Linked DNA regions of Caenorhabditis elegans. The protein of the gene in region 1 purifies or fractionates together with the protein of each later gene. This does not show direct contact. Each region holds a gene or a part of one and is shown on either strand. Other genes may lie near its edges.

Region 1 (5,664 bases):
GAAGACCATTTCCGCATCCAATATCCACGAATTTATTCGGCTTTGGTAGGAGATCAGAATTGACAAGCTCCTAAAAATATTTTGAAAGATGGGAATTTTATTGAAATAGATAAATTTTACATTTATATATGAAGCAATCCCACAATCCTCGAAAATTGATTTTTGTGGATTAGAGTTTTCTGTCCATCCTTTGATCATTCCTCTGCCATAATCCTCTCGAATATGACGATATGTCTTGATGTAGGACTCTTTGTCGAGTAGAGAATTTGTCTTTCGAGATGATCTGCAATAAACGTTTAGACTTTGTTAAATCATAGCGTTCTCACTTTGAAAGATCAATTCCTTTCAACCAAGTGTACAATTGTTTGAATGCTTGTTTCTTCATAAATTCAAAATGTTCTTGAGAGGAATTAGCTTGCTTCAAAAACTGAAGTTGAATGGATGTATCTGTTGGGATTTTAATGGCAATTGAATACGGGCTCTCGAAATGTGGGTGTTGCATTCCATCGAGAGTAATTGGGTAGAATCGTACAAGGAGTTCTTCTGAAAACAAAAACATCATTTCAAAAGAAGACTAACTTCGAAACAAACCTTCATAGTAAGAAACTTCAAACGCATTATCTGAGAATTTATTATTAGCGAGATCCTTGTGTATGATTTTCGTAATAGCTATTTCGCTGCAATCTCTCGGGCAAAATTTGTAATGTGTTTCAAATGTTCTTAAAACTTCATTCCATAAATCTGAATCTGTATCCACTGAAACTGAAGTTGTAATTCTGTTACTGATAGCGTTTGGATATTCCTTCCAAAGACTGATAATCTGAATTTTTCTTTCAATTACAATATTCCAAATTACAATAACTACCTTATCAAAAAACGCTTTTGGATCAATAACCTCTTCGTATTCGGCGATTTGTTCTACAATAACTGTCCATGTTGAACCAGGAAACATAAAACGCCTAAAAACGTAAAATTTTAATTGAATATATTGGTAAACTAGTTTTTCAAAGGAAAAAGAAAATTATTCAATAAACTTTTATTGATTAGTTCGGCCGAAAATATCCAACACGCAGAAAGGTAAGCTTTTCGAAGATATAGAAAGTTCTAGAAAATTCGGAAATGTTCCTCTGAAAACTACAAAAACTAAGTCAGACTGAAACCAATGTCATAACTATGTGCAATGAGCCTTTAATACAGTAACCACCGCATAGCTTTGAGACGATCAGTGAAAAATTAAGCATTAGAGCGGTCAAACTAGACACCAATACACTTTTATCTGATTTTAAAAATTAAAATATGCTATTTTTATCGGAATTGCTGGGAAAAATATTGTCTAAAAATAAGAAAACAACTTTGAAGAAAATGCGCCAACACCCATGTGCTGGCGCAATTATCGATTAGTTGACGCACATCGCGGAGGATGACAATTCTGACCACAGCGGGAAACCGCGAAATTGTCAGCTTTTATCTGAAAATGTATGTGTTTTTGGACGAAATTTGTCATTCGCAATCATTCTTTTCGTTCGGTTCATCCATTGTTGGTGTTTGAGTAATTTTATGATTTTCTAAAACGCCTGATTTATTTTTAGACGTTTTCTAATTTGTCTTTTAAGACGAGAAAGCTGTTTTTCTGATAACCTAGAAAAACATTTTATAATAAACTATGCTTCGCAACTATCTTCTCCTAGCTGCTCTCATTTCGGATTGTTTTTAATTTTGATTTCTTTCAGATGTTGACATTGTTGAACAGATGGAGATCTCAGCCAGGAGGCGCTTCAAACGCAGGTATCAAAACTAATATCTATCAAGAAACGTTGTGAATTGTTCATTTTCAGCCGCATTCATTCGTGTTCTCGAGTCACCGAAATCAGCAGTGACCGACAAAGTGCTCGTTCTCAAAGCATTTAACGATTGGGATGTTCTTGTGAACACATGGTTTGAGGTCGCTGACGCCCTTCCAGCTGTAGAGCAGCTCCTTGACAACAACACGTTCCCAGAGCATTCATCCGCTGCACTGCTCGTCTCCAAAGTTTATTTCTGCTTGGAGCAGTATGAACGTGCTTTGGAGTTTGCTCTTCGTGGTGATTTCAACGTCGTTCCTGCTACAAGAACCGGTCTTGGAAACGACGCAGAATATGTTAACAAGATCATCGAGACGGCCATTGACACGTACAAGACGCTGAGCAAGCAAGGATCTGGAATTCCTCAGAAACTCCGAGATTTGATCGACCGAATTGTTGCTAGAAATCTGGATAAACGAGAGATATGGTTTGTCATCTCGTTAGGATTTGAGACGACCAATCTGGCTATGATCGACAGGGCCATTAGCGCGATGCCTGCAGATTTGACCATCAAGAATCAGAGTAAGTCAATAATAACTAAGCTGAAACGTCATTCTTTTTTGTGCAGCTACACTTGTCGAAACGCTCAACCGTGTTGTCAATGGCGCGTTCGATCGTTCATTCCGATTCCAAGTTATCGATACAGTCATCAAGACGTACTTGAAGTGCCCATCGCCGGACATGTCCAAGATTTGCGAGGTATGATTTATACAAATATCGAAGTAAAATTACAAAATAAACATTTTCAGTGTTACGTGCTCACGGATAACGCCGAGGCCGCTGCTGACACGATTACGAGTTTGATCGCGAAGTCTCTCAGCACTCGTGCATATCAGATCGCATTTGATTTATATGAAACAGCGAGTCAAGGATTCCTCGATCGAGTTTTGAAACGTTTCCAACAGCAGGATGCTCGTGATGAGAAGTCGATGGAAAAGATTCATTCAATTCTCAAAGGTCATGAAACTGTCAAGGCTTACCTCGACTTCTTTGTCCGTCATAATCACACTGATTCTGTTCTAATGGAAGAGATCAAGGAGAACATTCGAACAGCCTCTGCCCACAATGCTCTTCTCATCTCAAATGGTCTTATGCAATATGGAACTACTTGTGACGATTTCCTCCGTAACAACTTGAACTGGGTTTCCAAAGCTACGAACTGGAACAAGTTCAATGCGGTCGCTTCACTTGGACTCATTCATCACGGACAAGAATCGTCTGCAATGAAGGTACTTGAGCCATATTTGCCAAAGGAATCTGTCGAAGGATTTGGATTTAAAGAGGGAGGAGCAATGCTGGCATATGGATTGATTCACGCCAAACACGGAGATGCAACTGCCATGAGCACTCTGGCTCAGTGGCTCAAAACCGCCGAAAACGAGCCAGTGAGACACGGAGCTTGTCTTGGATTTGGAGTTGCTGGACTTGGATCGTCTTCTGTTTCGAATTACGAGAAAGTTCGGGAAGTTCTCCAACGTGATGAAGCAGTTTCCGGAGAATCCGCAGGAATCGCCATGGGCCTTATCATGGCTGGACATCTGAATCAAGAGGTGTTCAATGAGCTCAAGCAATACACTGTTGACACACAGCATGACAAAACTCAACGTGGTATCCGAACTGGACTTGCCTGTGCCGCATTCGGACTCCAAGGAGATGCTGAGCCTTACATCAAAGAAGCAATCGGAGCTAAGAGCAATCCAATGCTCCGTTCCACTGGAATCTGTATGCTGTCGATGGCTTACGCCGGAACCGGATCTCCAGATGTAGTACGCCGTCTTCTCGAGAAAGTAGCCACCGATCCAAATTTGGATGTCAAGAGATACGCTACAATTGGTATCGGATTCGTTCTCTCCAAGGATCCATCAACCTGCTTATCCTACGTGGCCATGCTCACCGAACATTTCAATGGACATGTCAGATACGGAGCAGCTATGGCACTGGGAATTGCTTGTGCTGGAACAGGAAACATGGTAAGATACTTTTTTCTGAAACCGGGGTTTGATATAATGAATTGTTTTTCAGGAAGCTATTGCTCTGATTGAGCCAATGATTTCTGATAAGGAAGGTTTCGTTCGTAAAGGAGCACTTCTTTCACTTGCTCTCATCATGTGCCAGCAGACAGACTACACTTGTCCCAAGGTGAACGGTTTCCGTAAGCAATTGCTCAAAAAGGTAACTCTATAAGAAAACAATCAAGTTTTTCAATAAATGTTTGTCAGATCGGAGAGAAGAACGAGGACTCTCTTGTCAAATTTGGAGCAATTATTGCTCAAGGACTTCTCGACATCGGAGGGCAGAACGCTGCGGTCACAATGCAAAATTCTGACAAGCAGCCAGATATGGGATCAATGGTCGGAATGATGTGCTTCCTTCACGGATGGTTCTGGCACTCGATGCATTTCTTCATCGCCCTTGCTGCTAAGCCATCATGCCTTGTGATGATGAACGAGAATCTGAAGATTCCAGTACTTGACTACATCTGCCATGCCAATAGTCAGAAGTTTGCCTATCCACCACGAGCCGAATCAAAGAAGGATAAGGATGTCAAAAAGATTGAGACTGTTGTTCTGTCCATCACCGGAAAGAAGAATGCGTCAAAGAAGCTGATCGCTGAGGAGAAAAAAAGACGAGAAGCTGCAGCTTCCGCTTCTAGTGCTGCTGCTGCCCCATCATCATCGTCCACTTCAGGAACAGCACCAGCTGCTGAAGATGAGAAAATGGAGGTTGATCAACCAGGAAAATCCAAGTAAGTTTGGAATGAGTGTCTAGGAAAAGTAGAATTCGTTTTTTTTGTCATAAAAATTAAAAAACCAAGATTTCCAAATTAACTTACAATTATTTCAGGAAAGAAAAGGCTCCAGAAAAGGACACGAAGCCATTGCACCGCCTACAGAATCCAGCTCGTGTGATTCCTGCTCAACGACAGCTAATCTCGATCAGTGACGCTCGAGCCTACAGTCCCATGAAGCCACTTTACAAGGGTGGAATTATTGTGGCGGATCGTGTTGATAAGGAGAGAGAGGAGAAGCTTGTCAGTGAAGTCGTCACTCAGGTCAATACTCCTGCGAGCTCTGGAAATACCGAAAACAAACCCCATTCGACGTTCGAGATCAATATCAACGATTTTTGATCAATTGCTGGATCATTCGATCAACTCTATCTCGCTCCCCCAATCCCATTCAAAACTTTTTTAATTTATTTTCCCCCTTCTACTCTATTTATGTTTGACTTCGAATCAACATGAACCCGCTGATTTTTGTATTTGTGTGTATACCTGAAAATGAAGAACATTTCACTTACATGAATTGAAGTCAAGCGATAATGACAAAAAATTTATTTTTGTTAAACAAGAGATCCTTTCTGGCCTCAAAATCTTGCTGTGTTATTCAAATGAAACAGCAACAAAAATGAATGAATAAATTCTGAAAATTTTAATAACGAAAACGTGAAGTAAAAAATTAATTTAATTATCCTCCTCGTCAGTTGATAGAATCTCGCCGTCTGATAACTCCTCTTCGGGATCTCGCTTTGGCTTCGGAGGAACAACGACCGCTGGTGTTGACGTGGATATGGCTGGCTTTTTAGCAGGCGATGGAGCTGCTTTCCGCGATGGAGGAGACTGGTTTACACGTTTTTTGGTGGGAGTGTCGAGGTGTTTCTGTAAATTTTGATTTTGAAAACATGTAATCGGGAAATTTTAAGCTAAAACAATATAAATAATAAAAACCAACATCTCTTCCTCTATCAGAAGACGACTTCTCTGGCAAACGATCCCTATCTTTTCCAAATTTCCTTCTAGATGTCGTTGGTATTTTATACTCCA
Region 2 (4,955 bases), 4.3 Mb from region 1:
AGCGAAAAAATTCAAATAAATTACGTTGTGTATTGCGTTAAATCCTCTTTGAACGTCGACACCACGTTCATCTTCTCGTTGGCGGCGAACATGTCGTTGACCGACCATCCGGTGCCGTTGTTGTGATTGTTGCTGCGACGAGCGGCGGTTTGTCCACCAGCAACGACGACGTCGTCCTCAATGGATCCTCCGAGTCCGTCCTCCTCACCTCCGTTCCATTCCTGAAGCTCTTCGCCCTCGATTGGAGTATCTCCGTGGTATTGTCTATCGGTGACGAATTTGCTGACTGAAAATGGAGAGTTTTTCAGCTTTTTCGGATTAAAAATCGTAACTGTGAACCCGACTTGGCCCAAAATTAAAGATGTCATGCATTTTTTTTAATGAAAAAGTTCCCTGAAACAGCTCTTACCAGCATGCTGCTTCTTGATCTCTTGCGTAACGTACGCAAAATCGACAATATCACTATAGTGAAATACCATCTTGTCTCTGCATTCCGACTCTGTTCTCAGCAAGTTATTCTCGTTCTCCTTCGTAATTTCCACGACGCACTGCATCCCGAAATCGAAATCCTGAGACACGGCGCCCAGCACCCCAGAATATCGCTTTTTGTCCGTAGTATTAATGATAATTACACGTCCGATCATATCATTGATGGCGCTCAACACATCGCCATTTAGCGCAGGAAGACCCGTTGGTGTTGACTGGAAAAATTGTATTTTTAAAGAAATTTTCAAGTTGCCAGCGCTTACCATTTCTTTCATTCGCACTTTGGATGCAAATAAAATATAAATAAATAGAAGATTGTCTGTGGAGCAGTCAAAGAGTTTGGGTACAGGAGAAATGTACCTGAAAATGGAAAAAATTTGAATTTTAAAAACAGCAATTTCGCAACGATAATGGAAGTTTAATATGAGTAACAGTTTTGGGCAAATTTTTGAAATTTCCAACACAATCCCGTTTTTCAAGGTTTCACCACGTGCAAAACGAGCCACAAGAAGAAAATTATCCACAAAATTCGCGGAAAAATTTGAAAAACGTTCGAGAGAGAGACGAGAGAGCACGCAGACAGCGGAGGACACGCACATGCGGTAAATGACGCGCCGATTTCCGTCGGGATTGCCTGAGACTCCGCCCTATGCAAGTGCGCCGCACAGGGTTTCGCAAGTGTGCCGCGCGCATTTTACACAGTGGGGTTTTCAGGAAAGTCGATATAGTGGGAATTAGTGGATTTTTTCCAAGGAAAGTGGTAAAACATGAACATTTCGCCTCAACAGTTGAGTTTTTGGGCAATGAATAAAAGCATTTTCCCCAAATCAAAAAGTTTATCCGCAATTTATTGAATTAGGTCTGACAAAATTCAGATTTTGTTCTTAAAAGAAAGATAGGACATTTCTTCATAGGAGCACACACTTTTTTCATTTGACAAAAAATTATCTTGCCGGGTACCACATTTCTCGTGCAAAATTTCGCGATTGGGAAATATTTATCTGTTTGACACCACAGATTTTGGGGAAACTCCCACTCGGAGAAATTCTTTCCCTGCGCTATCTTCCAATACACTTTGTCGATAATACAATTTGAAATAAACAAAACTAATTCTCAATTTAAAATTTATCGCTCATCAAAAATATTTAAAAATTTCCCCTGTTTTTCGGTCTTTTTTTCAAGACTCAAATTTCTGTAGAGAAAGGTTCTGTGACGTCTCTTGTCAAGTTCGCCCCATTGACACGATGAAGAGAGACGCAGACTGAAAATAAAAATATTTTTGATGACATTTTGGAATAAATTCAAGAACATTTTACTTTTTGCGGAAAAACCGAGTTTCTCGTATTGTTTTGAACAATTTTTAGCAATTTCAGTGTAATTTCTTCATTTTTCGACGTTAATTTCTTCGTAAAACGCTAAATATTTAGTATTTTCAGCATGGAAAGCCCAATGGAAGTCGATGCTCCCAGAGAATCAGCTTCGCTGACGTCTCTCGACTCAGCAAATGATGGTAAGCTAGTCTAGCTTCTAATTTACATAATGAACTTGAAATTTTCAGTGGAAAGAGTCTTCCTGCGGCTCGTCAACGCCAACTCGGACGCCAAGCTACAAACTATCACAGATCGGCACTTGTGCGATGTGTTGGAGTTTGCCGGGAGAAAGCAGGAGCACATTCAGCTGGTAAGACGCAAAAATTCGCTGAAATTTGATTCAAAATGACTAAAATTCGTGATTCCAGGTCACCGAATTTCTCACACACTTCAACAAAGTCGTCAAGAGCAATTTGGCGATCCGTCTCCCAGTGCCACGTCTGCTCGAACTTTTCCAAGGCCCGAGTGCCATTTCATCGGTTTGTAGCGTTCTCCAGACGATGTATAACCCAAAAAATTAATATTTTTTCCAGAATTTCAGTCTGATCTATCTCAAAATGGCAAAAGACCGGATCCAGGCCGCCGAGCAGCTAGAGTTTCTGCCTGTATACTTGACATCGTTCAGCAAGAAGCCCAATGATCTCAATTACATTTACGAGTAAGTAAAGTAGAACTATTTATATTTTCTATATAATTTTTTCCAGCATTCTCTCGTTGTGCCTGCCGGGACTCCACGAGCTCGCGAGAATCGAGAAAAAACACTGGCCGACGATCGAGATGAGCTCTGTCGACGTGGAAATCATTGCCAGATGCTTTCAGGCGATTCTCGTGTTCTCTGCACGAAGCATGTACGTAATTTCAGTTTTCAGAAGCGAATTTCCTGGTTTTAATCTGAAACATGCCTAGCATTTTGTTAATTTTACAATATTTCATGCCGAAATCTTCACGAACTTTGCCTGCTTTAACTCTAATATTTTATTTCAGTGAGGACATCAAAGTGCTCGTCGAGAAGCTTCCCACAGCATCGTCGGCTCCTGAGCTCCCAGCGCTGAGCATCAACGAATTTGTTCAAATTGGGCGGAAAGTCTTCCCGCTGGGGCTGAATTTGACGGAGACGAAGGTGATGATTCTGAAGGTGTTGGGAAAGGAGTTGCTCACCGATGACATTGCTTTTCCGCTGATGGTCGTGGCTTCCGCTTCGAAATTGAACGAGTAAGGATTCATCACGTAAATCGGCATAAATTTAAAGGCACACGCACATTTACCCTCACTGATCCCGCCACGATCTTAGCTATTGGGTACAGTATCCGATCAAATTTACGAGGATCGTGACAAGACCCGCTAAGGAAAGAGCATGCGCCTTTAAGAATGTCAGGCTCACCACGATCCACATATTACCGCGTAATTGTATGGATCGTGACGAGACCTGTCATGAAAAACTGAAATACATGCGCCTTTAAAGTTAGTTTTATTACCACTTTTCAGGGTAGATGATCTCGCAGAAAGTCTGATCAAGAAGATTCCAACCGAAGGACTTATTGAGAGCCGACCAGTCATCGACAAGCTCATGCACGCCTTTCTTGGCTCAAATGCCGATACTACGCCGCCGAAAGATCCCAAAGCAAAGGTTTACCCGAAAGAAAGGCAAAAAAGCAGGAAATAAATCCAAAAAATTCCAGATCTCTGCGGGAAATCAATTTGTCCAGGCGGCCGTTCTACCGTTTCTGTCGAAATCTCGACTGGCACCAACTGTCTACATGAATAACTTGAAGGTTTTTATTATTGCTGAAATTCCCATATAATCGTTTTTTTTTTCAGATCTGTATGAATGGCTCCGCGAGCAAAAGTTCTCGAGTTCAGGCGCTCACGATGAATTTCTACGTGCTCGTCGCCGAGAAAATGCGACCACAAGCTCTACAGACATTGGCTCCGGGATTGTTCAAACGGCTTCGGGACTTGATTCGCAGCAATAATATGAACACATTGACAATTTGTGGAGTCTACCGCTGCCTGGCAATCTTCGGGAGTCGTCATCCGATACTTGTGCTCAACGATAGTGATGTCGTTGCCAAGATGTTTGAGGATCTTTCCACTGTTAGTAAATCGCTGATTTCTGTCAAATTTAGAAGAGAAAGCTGGAAAATTTCACTCTTTTTTTTAAATTTAAATCCTAAAATCTCGAATTTTGACAACTTTTCCGTGTCGTAGCCATGGAAAATTGATTTTTATTCGCATTATTGTTATATCTCACATATTTTTCTCATTTATCTCACGTCCTTCGTTGATTTCGAGGCGTTTAAGCCTATAGGTATCAAAATTGTGTTGCCTAGTTGCTTTAAATATTTCGAAATTACGTGAGATAAATGAGAAAATATGCAAAATAGAACATGGTTCTAACAAAAATCAATTTCCAATATTTGAGAAATTATTGAAAAGTCTCGTTATGAAATTCGGTCTATTTGGGCCATTTTGAGTATTTTAATTTTCAGGAGTACCAGGAAGACATCGCCGGAGCAATTGTATCATGTCTGACGACCTGGCTCCCACTGTTCCTCGAATCTACAGAAGAGGAGCTGAGAGCAAAACTCCGTGAGGTGATCAGTGAACACATTCGCTCGGATTTCCCGAATTGTCGACTCGCCGCGTTGAAATACGCAGAAGCTCTGATTGGAGAGCAAGATATGGATCTACGGTGGCAGTTGATTCAGGCTTCGGGTGATGATAGAGATGCAATTCGAACCGAAGCTCTTCGTCAATTGGAGAAATCTCTTCAAAAGCCGGCTCCACCAACTTCAGTGATTATTGGCTCACTTTGGAGCAGTCTTCAGAAGGATTATCGGAGGAATAGCAGCAGTGAGACGGATGGAGCAGCCCGTGTTGATCCAAGTTATAATAATTTGGTTCATCAAAATGTGAGTAAAATTGCCTAAAAAAAGAAGAAATTTTATTAAAAGTCTTTCAGGCCTCGCGTTATCTCTACGCAGTGTTTGAGAGCATTGTGATGGATCATCCGGCGCAACTTCGAATTGTTGAAGGTGACGATCACTGGATGACTGTGGTGCCAAGAGTTGTGAAGAAGCTTCACGGGGATACAAGTAT
Region 3 (4,340 bases), on another chromosome or scaffold:
TAAACAGATATGAGATTATTTTAGCCCTATTGACGAATGAATAGGGCAATTTGAATGCATTAAAAACGAATTATGAACACTTATAGACAGAAAAAGTTAATGAGAAGACAGAATAAAACCATTGGTGTAGATTAATTTTGGAGATCAATAAGAAACTCCATAGCCGCTTGCACATCTCCATTCGCCTGTTCGAGAGCCAACTGAATGAGCTCATCATTTTCAAATCCAAACTCGCGGAGAGTCGCAGCTTGTTGTTCATATCCTTGCTGCATTGGCTCTTCTTGCTGCTGTTGCGCTGGCTGGACATTGGCGGGAGCTGGAACCCGATTTGCCGGAGGAACTGCAATGTTTGCCAGGGCTGCTTGGAGAGCCTGAAAAAATTGGCATGGAGAATTTAGTAGAAATATGTATTCAACTATTATTATATTTCAATTATTCTTTTCGAATTATGAGAATCAGTGTGTCCAAGAAATCTTACATTTTGAAGCAACGCATGAGTAACCGGTTGAGCACCTCCAATTGGTCGCTGAGCTGCAAGCATTCCTGGTCTATTTCTTTCCACGTTTGCATAATCAAGGTTTTCGTATCCGTAACGAGATCCTACTGTCGATAGAATATTTTCTACTACTTTCAAGAAATCGGGATTCGTGTACATGAATTGTCCCCGAATTGGATCATCTTTGAAATCGTTCTGAACGCAATAGGCACGGAATAATGACCAATCACTCAGAACAGATAAAAATTGATTATCATGAACCAGCTGTGGGTGTTTCTCAAGAAGCGTTGTCATGTGATCTGGAAGTGCAAAGTCGTGGTTGAAACCATGAAGCCGACGATCATTTGGGCGTGTATATGGGGCGGTACACTCCTTGAGAGCAATACTGATTCGATTTTTTTGCTCTTCTTCGATGTGGTTCTGAAAATCTTAAAATTAATTTGGGTTTCAAACGGAAAAAAACTGACATTTGTTTTAAGCGGTGGAAGCAGCACGACTCTGATTGAATCAGCATCAGTAATCTTTTTTAGGCTCTCTTCATTCAATGCTCTTCCGTTATAAATCAAACCTGAAAAGTGATTGATTCGATAATTGAAGAAATAAATATGATCGATAATTGAAGAAATAAACTTACGGAAACGTTCAACGTTTTTTTGGTCTTTGAATTCGGAAGTACTTTCTGATAAATGCTTGAAGAATTGGATCTGTCCAGTAGAAATTATCTCTTCGATCGGGACTTCACGGCAGGTGGTTTTTAAATGCAATTTAACCATGTTTCTCAATACAACGGGATGGCGGTTGAAAACTGAATGCGAAACAAATGCTCCGTTTCCTGCGTTCAAACGCTAATAACGAGAGCGCTCGATAATGAAAGGATGAATAAAACCGTGCGGCGGAATTGCGAAAGCATGCGCCGCGTATTGCAAACCCTTGTCATCATCCCCGCCCACTTTTATTCGTCCCATTTTGAATTTTTCCCCCAGTTTTCTTGAATTTTGATACGGTTTTGTCTGTTTATGCACTATGAAATAGATATTTTAACGTAGTTTTCACTGTGCCGCTCACTGTAATGTAAAATAAGGCACTATTACGAATTTAAAATAGATATCAACGCTTATTTTCAAAAACTAACAAACTAGACACTAAAATTAATACCAAATCTATATTTCGATAATTACAGCAAATTTAATGAAAACTAACTAAAATGCTATTTCACGTTTGAAATACCATTGAACAGTTTTATTTCCGTTTTGGCCGCTTTTTAACGTTTGCTACAATTTCAAGTGTTCATATTTCATTTTAAGGAGGATGACAGAGGCTGCCAAAAAGAGCACGAAGAAACCCGTAGATGATGGAAACTTCGATAAGGAGGTACGGATCAGTAGTTTTGAAATCATTCAAGTTCAGAGTTTTCAGATCATTTCAAGATGGCCTGATCTTGAGTTATCACAAACCAGATTCATGCTCAATCATCCCGAAGTAGACAGCAGCGTGAAAGAAGCCAAGCTCGAGAAGCTTCAGGAAACTATCAAAGAATTCGACATGGCGCCATTCTACGAGCTTGTCTGCGCTGACTTCAAAATTGTCGTAGATGCAACACAATTGGCTGCAATGAAAGCAGCTAATCAGAAAAAGATCGATGAAATCACCGCAGAAGTTGAAGACGCGGAGAAGAACCTTGGCGAATCTGAAGTGCGTCAGGGATTACTCCGCAAGTTCGAGTACTACTGTCAGATCGGTGACAAAGACAACGCTCTGAAAGCGTACACAGCCACCTATGAGAAGACAGTCGGTATGGGATATCGTATTGATGTAGTTTTCGCCATGATTCGTGTTGGACTTTTCTTCCTCGATCATCATCTCATCAACAAGTTTATCACCAAAGCAAAAGAACTTATGGAGCAAGGAGGAGACTGGGAACGCAAAAATCGCCTTCGATCCTACGAAGCGCTTTACCGAATGTCTGTTCGTGATTTTGCTGGAGCCGCTGATTTGTTCCTTGAAGCTGTGCCAACATTCGGATCATACGAGCTCATGACATATGAAAACTTGATTCTCTACACTGTCATCACCACAACCTTTGCTTTGGACAGACCAGACCTTCGTACCAAGGTTATTCGTTGCAATGAAGTTCAAGAACAGCTGACCGGAGGGGGACTCAATGGAACATTGATTCCAGTTCGTGAGTATCTCGAATCATACTATGATTGTCACTACGATCGTTTCTTCATTCAGTTGGCCGCTCTTGAAAGCGAGAGAGTAAGTTACTAAAACAAATCTTGTATTTTTCACTTATCGTTATATTTCAGTTCAAGTTTGATCGCTATCTATCGCCACACTTCAACTATTACTCTCGTGGAATGCGCCATCGCGCTTACGAACAATTTTTGACTCCTTACAAGACTGTACGTATCGATATGATGGCCAAGGATTTTGGTGTTTCCCGTGCTTTCATCGACCGCGAATTGCACCGTCTGATTGCGACTGGGCAATTGCAATGTCGTATTGATGCTGTTAACGGAGTGATTGAAGTGAATCATCGTGACTCGAAGAATCATCTGTACAAGGCAGTTATCAAGGATGGAGATATATTGCTCAACCGCATTCAGAAGCTTGCCAGAGTTATCAATGCATAACCGAGCCCAGTTCTTCAAACGTGTAAATCCTTTTATTTTACCCTATTCTTCTTCTCCCGTATTATTTCTTTGCGTTAACTCGCTTTGAATCTCCCCACTTCTTCATCATTTCCGGTTGAATGAATTAATTTATTACCATCGCTGTATTTTTAAAACTGTATTCACACTTTCTTGGTCAAATACCAATTGTTTTATTATCTTTAAAATGTTTTTACATGTTATTTAATACCACTTCTTCACTTCTTCACTTCTTCATTTCTTTATTTCTTTATCCACATCGCTGCGATGTAGATCCGCTGTTTATTTTTCAATCGTTCATAAGTTGATGTTCCAGGAGCACAGTACGTTGCTCGCAGCGAGTTTTTGAAGAATTTAACGAAGAAAGGAGCCTAAAATATTTATATACAAATTTTTTAACTTTTGGCCTAGTTTACTTTCTCTAGTAGCCTATCATATTTTCTCGCTGAATATTTTAAGCCCTCAACTACTTCATCAGTGCAAAACTCGAAATGTTTCTTTACAAAACCGGCTGCTGTGGCTGTCTCCTGAATCTGTTTTGCCTGTAATCACTAGCTGTATTTATATAAATTTTACAAGTAGACTAACCTCATGGGGATATCGAATGTCCATGTAGCAGAAGGCACCACCCGATCGCAAAACTCGTGAGCCCTCTTTGAAAAATAGTTTGTAGTCCGAGTAAAGATGAGCTGCTTCCACATTCAAAACTTAATTTCAAGATGTTTTTGGTATTTTTTGATATGATCCTACCAAAATCAAACGAATTATCTGCAAACGGTAAATCTAGTGCATCTCCGTAGACTATGTTATTCATATTTCTAGTGACAACTTTATCACAGCCAATGATGCATTTTGTTGGTCCATGCCACCTGTGTTCCATATTTCTCGTTTTAAAAAAAATGCAAGACACTTACTTTTCTATCCAATCGAGAGAGTACCCTTGACCACAGCTCACTTCAAGAATTTCAAATTGTTCAAAATAAGGATAATTTGGATGCATTGATAATGCTTTTTCATAGAGATAAATATGAGCTCGATCCGACTCTGAACATTTAAATTAACAAGGAAACCTCGATTAGTGTTTTCATTTTACCGTATTCATCTAGGTCACCTAGATCTTCCATGAACATTCTCATTTTTGCGTACTGAGGTGCTGATGATGGCCAGTAGCCCAAATTCATGAAACGAAC
Region 4 (4,257 bases), 1.6 Mb from region 1:
AGTGTGAAGAAAATGGGAATTAGTGGGCGTGACTAGCCAATCAGCGGATTGTTGGGTTGGCCACGCCTTCTTTTTTTAAATTGATCAATAGCGGTAACGAGAAAATTATTGTTTTTCTATGCACTTTGGACGCACCATTATAGTCCAAATAACATGAAAGTCCAATTAATGTAACGTTAGTCTATCTAGATAGACTATCTTTCAAACATAAATAAGTCCACTCAATAAGCGATCTCAAGAGATATACATTTTTGACTTACATTTTAACGTTTTATATCGCGGCGAGACCAAAAATTGAATGAGTTTTAAATCAATTCGAAATGAAATTTTTATTTTCTTGGCGGCGAAAATGCGAGAAACACGATAGTGTGTTTTACTTAAATAGCAAATTCGTTTAACCTTCACGTTGTTAGCATTTCATTTTTTGACGCTGAAGCTTTGAAACAATCATTTCAGTTTTCAAAACTCGTTAAAGATTGAAGTAAATGGGATTTCAAACACAAGAGTATATGTAAAGACTTATATTAAAAACATTACATCAATAAATTTCATTAAAACTTCAAACCGGAACATGAATTAACGGCGAACAAGTCATTTTTGAGGCAATAAAATACTGTATTGGAATAATTGAGATGAAAAAGAAACAAAAAATTGAATAGTCAAAGAGATTCAGGATATACAGATCAATCTAAAGAGCCATTTCCTCAACACGCGGAGCAGGTGCAACAGCCGGTTGCAGATATTTCTTGAGACGGCCAATCAGTTCTGGATCAGCTTTGAGTACTTCGGCGCTCTTTGTATTCTCCGACAATTCAATGATTCGATGAATAATTTGACGTTTGCGAATTTCGTATTCTGGATTATCTTCTGATTTATCGTCCAATGCCCAGTCAATGAATCTGAGAAAAAACAATTTTAATAAAAAATCTCGCATAAAAATGTCGTTAACATACCCCTGGAAAGTGATGAACTGATGAACAACTGATGGATATGTGAACAACTGTTGCCAGAAATCATAAATACAATTCTTCATCTCAGGGAACGGCTTCTTAACATTTCCAACTGCTACATGTGTCAATGCTTTTCCACCGAGACGCTCGTACCATGTTTCAGCAATTTTTTCAGTCGCTGAAATTATTAATTTTCAAACATTCCACATAACTAAATAAGCTCACTATTCTGGAAAAGGAGAGTGACGGCCTGAAGAGTTCGACACTTCAATTCCATTGTTCCCATCGTACATGCAGCACCAGCAGCTCCCAAAGTATTCTCAAGATCTTTTGAATCTGAAACAATATGATTTTTAATATCTTGCTTTTGAAAAATTTGGAAAATACCTTTGAACATATCCTCCAAAGTTTCTTTTGCCTCGACAGAGAAGCACATACTGGCAAAATGATCGAAAGCTCCAAGACGACTGACCACACTCAATTGATCGAACATTCTGATTTCGAGCATGAGACGCCGTGCAAGATCAGGGAAATATTTAAGAACTTGTGGGTAGGAACGAGCCATATAACACATGAAACGTGTTCCGTCTGTTGATAAAAATATTGTTAAATATTAATTGAATGAACTGGTAACTTACATAAATACATTTCCCCACCATCTGGAGACTCCTTCGACCATTCCATCAACTCATAAATCTAAAGGAATAACATTAAAAAAACAAATTTATTGCAAATTCAAACCTTTTTGACGATTCCCAATTCGTACAAAGCCTCTGCATTCTGTTTTCCACTAAGTGCAATATCAACGAAAGTGTCCAAAGCATCCAGTTGAGCAAGAACATCTTGAGTATCTAGAACACTTTTAAGAATCTTGTCGTAGAGCCAATGAATGCATGAAGTGTTAGATGAAATGCGAGCTCGTTCAGTAGCAATCTGAACAATTTTTCAATGAATTATCAAATTAAGAATTCAAATAATTACGGAGTAAATACGACTTCTAATGGATGAACTTTCTCTTCCATTGGCAACACTCAGCTGCGATTTGAGCTCTTCATTAATCAAGTCGTGATCCACGAGGTGTGCCATCAGACGTCCAACTTCCTCTCCAGCTTCAGCATCTGTAACTCTTCGAGCAAATGCAACTCCAATTGCAACCGATGATGACTTCAAAAGGGAAATCGCTCCTTCCTTCTCACGGACTGTGCGGACTACATGGCGAAGAATATTCGGATGTGCAGATGGAATGAATTCGAGAAGAATTATCTGTAAAAGATTGAGATATTACAATTTTTATTAGAATTTTTTTTTATTAGATTAGAATAGTCTAAAAATTGATGTCAGGTACCTGATGATCGACAAGAAGATCTTTGGTTGAAATATCTCCAATAATCAATTTTACAAGCTTGCTGGTGCTGAAGTCATCAAAATCAGCAGCGGCCACGTCATCTTCTGTTCTGAAATAATTTCATTTTGATACTATCTGATATTCATTTAACGTACTCCATTTGCTGAGCCGCTTCAATTTGCATCTTTGCAAGTTTTTCCAGAATCTCCCATCCCTTTTTCGAACTGCGTTCTGCGATGTAATCGTTTCTCCACTCCTGAAAAAAATTGGCTTAAAATTGGAAGAAATTTCAATAAAACCTACTTCGATCAGTTTTTCATGTTCTTCCAAACTAGCCATCTGGAACGAATACGGTAGGAGGTAAAAATATTAAGCAAGAAATGAAGATAAGCTGGTAGTTAAACCATCATAATTTTAAAAAAGAAAGAAAGACATATGGAAAGAGCATGGAATTTAATTGAAAGTCGGTTTTACCCGTATCAAAAAAGAAGTTAGACAGTGAATTTTCAATAAAGTACAAATGTTAGATAAGTATGTTCAAATAAATAACTTAAATTAAATGTTAAAGCTATTTAACTGGTTTATAATGTAGAAGAAGCTCTCCACTTTGCTTCCAATAGAGATGCTTGACTGTTCGCAAATCCATATCCGGCTCCAACCTCTGATCATTGCAGTACATTTCCATTTTTGTATGAATTTGATTTAGTGGAATCGAGCCAACTGTAATATCTTCAAACACCATTAATATCTTCTTATTTCTAAATACCTTACCATCATTAGTGCTGAGTATTTTTTCGTAAACATGCTCCATCACTTTCTTAACTTGAAGCATTTCAGTTGCTGACAGACGATCTCTGAAAATAGTTCAAAATTTTAATGAATGAACCCCGCGTTTTCACAAACTTTTTAGGCTGTTTGGGATTTGTCGACGGATGTGGAAGAAGATAAAATGGCATTTTATTGAATTTCGGCAGCTGATTTCGTTCGATTGCGTCTATAACCCACATGGGTGCAATTTGTGCCAGCTCATTTGCTTCGAACTCCTTCCCAGCGTCGCCAACAAGAAGACGGTAGAGCGGACGACCATTTCCTTCGCTGAAATTAGTTTTTTTAATGTTTAAAATTTGAGCCTTCAAATAATTTTACCAAATAATAAGCGGTGTGTGTTCCGGTAGAGAAATAAAATTCAGTGTTGCTTTTTGCACATCATCTGCATCAGCTGCATCAACATTTGTCATTTTACAAGGTGGCCATCGTTCGAAGAGTGATCGTAGCATCATTCCACCGTAATTCACTATAATTTCTTACAAAGGAATGAGAAAGTTTTTATTTTCGTATAATATCTTACGTTTTGTCTCTCGATCATTATCATCAAAACCTGCGTCTTTTGATGAAAGCCACGAGGAGAGAGCGTCCAGCTCGTCCAAAGTGATTTGGAGCATCTGAAATCGAATAGGGTTTTATTTTTCAAAAATTTATAAAACTTAAAACTCACTCCACTTTTTGAATCAACGACAAACCAGCTTGGAATGTATACTTGCCTAGAGTTCTCATCGACAACTTCTTCAAATATTCGCTTTCCATAATCTTTTATCTGAAATTTTATCAAAATTCAAGTAGTAACTTTTAATAATGGGGACAAACCTTTCTTGCTGCTAAAACATCATATAGCGCCACATTTCCATCCGAGTCTCGTGTCAAAACGTGTCGTTTGTCGCTCAACATGGCATGTTTCTTGATGGCAGGAGCGCCTGAATAAACAGATTAAAAATTATATCTGCATATAGTCTGTTTACCAGGAATAACGAGCTCTGGTGTGCTCTGTTGTCCTTTTTGATCCTTCACTCGGATATACTTGAATGTTACTGGAGGTGATGATGAAGCTGATACTGAGTGATTTGCATTTGAAGTTGAAGGACCATCTTCGTCTCCTCCAATCGAAAGTTGGGCTGATGGGCGGAT

Evidence for each region.
Region 2: the proteins of rpn-2 (region 1) and ecps-1 fractionate together in Caenorhabditis elegans (co-fractionation; one large-scale study listed by BioGRID). This does not show direct contact.
Region 3: the proteins of rpn-2 (region 1) and rpn-7 fractionate together in Caenorhabditis elegans (co-fractionation; one large-scale study listed by BioGRID). This does not show direct contact.
Region 4: the proteins of rpn-2 (region 1) and F35G12.12 fractionate together in Caenorhabditis elegans (co-fractionation; one large-scale study listed by BioGRID). This does not show direct contact.

What each region holds. Positions count from the first base shown.
Region 1 is NC_003281.10:6,197,456-6,203,119, forward strand, and holds rpn-2 (26S proteasome non-ATPase regulatory subunit 1), read left to right. Parts: upstream 1-1,724; 5' UTR 1,725-1,730; coding exon 1,731-1,785; intron 1,786-1,835; coding exon 1,836-2,363; intron 2,364-2,409; coding exon 2,410-2,540; intron 2,541-2,590; coding exon 2,591-3,811; intron 3,812-3,863; coding exon 3,864-4,013; intron 4,014-4,060; coding exon 4,061-4,587; coding exon of another isoform or gene 4,588-4,591; exon of another isoform or gene 4,592-4,685; coding exon 4,686-4,971; 3' UTR 4,972-5,139; downstream 5,140-5,664. Other genes in the region: C23G10.7 (putative tRNA (uracil-O(2)-)-methyltransferase), read right to left, coding at 1-70, 121-283, 327-543, 592-820, 866-952; sna-3 (NADAR domain-containing protein), read right to left, coding at 5,305-5,499, 5,573-5,664. UniProt on the Caenorhabditis elegans protein: Acts as a regulatory subunit of the 26 proteasome which is involved in the ATP-dependent degradation of ubiquitinated proteins.
Region 2 is NC_003281.10:10,457,519-10,462,473, reverse strand, and holds the start of ecps-1 (Proteasome component Ecm29 N-terminal domain-containing protein), read left to right. Parts: upstream 1-1,922; 5' UTR 1,923-1,923; coding exon 1,924-1,996; intron 1,997-2,044; coding exon 2,045-2,166; intron 2,167-2,224; coding exon 2,225-2,335; intron 2,336-2,389; coding exon 2,390-2,514; intron 2,515-2,560; coding exon 2,561-2,704; intron 2,705-2,840; coding exon 2,841-3,068; intron 3,069-3,341; coding exon 3,342-3,483; intron 3,484-3,535; coding exon 3,536-3,628; intron 3,629-3,674; coding exon 3,675-3,950; intron 3,951-4,345; coding exon 4,346-4,768; intron 4,769-4,818; coding exon 4,819-4,955. Other genes in the region: atx-2 (Sm domain-containing protein), read right to left, coding at 25-286, 410-701, 750-1,085.
Region 3 is NC_003282.8:9,314,839-9,319,178, forward strand, and holds rpn-7 (26S proteasome non-ATPase regulatory subunit 6), read left to right. Parts: upstream 1-1,800; 5' UTR 1,801-1,804; coding exon 1,805-1,867; intron 1,868-1,912; coding exon 1,913-2,755; intron 2,756-2,805; coding exon 2,806-3,132; 3' UTR 3,133-3,392; coding exon of another isoform or gene 3,393-3,521; 3' UTR 3,522-3,566; coding exon of another isoform or gene 3,567-3,692; 3' UTR 3,693-3,738; downstream 3,739-4,340. Other genes in the region: F49C12.9 (UBA domain-containing protein), read right to left, coding at 132-371, 479-916, 964-1,064, 1,131-1,269; nemt-1 (Methyltransferase type 11 domain-containing protein), read right to left, coding at 3,393-3,521, 3,567-3,692, 3,739-3,857, 3,901-4,019, 4,065-4,194, 4,244-4,340. UniProt on the Caenorhabditis elegans protein: Acts as a regulatory subunit of the 26S proteasome which is involved in the ATP-dependent degradation of ubiquitinated proteins.
Region 4 is NC_003281.10:4,580,172-4,584,428, reverse strand, and holds F35G12.12 (26S proteasome non-ATPase regulatory subunit 5), read right to left. Parts: upstream 2,635-4,257; coding exon 2,599-2,634; intron 2,552-2,598; coding exon 2,451-2,551; intron 2,405-2,450; coding exon 2,296-2,404; intron 2,214-2,295; coding exon 1,932-2,213; intron 1,884-1,931; coding exon 1,692-1,883; intron 1,647-1,691; coding exon 1,589-1,646; intron 1,539-1,588; coding exon 1,338-1,538; intron 1,287-1,337; coding exon 1,176-1,286; intron 1,129-1,175; coding exon 954-1,128; intron 900-953; coding exon 689-899; 3' UTR 536-688; downstream 1-535. Other genes in the region: wdr-48 (WD repeat-containing protein 48 homolog), read right to left, coding at 2,864-3,149, 3,199-3,390, 3,442-3,589, 3,644-3,737, 3,791-3,889, 3,940-4,046, 4,092-4,257.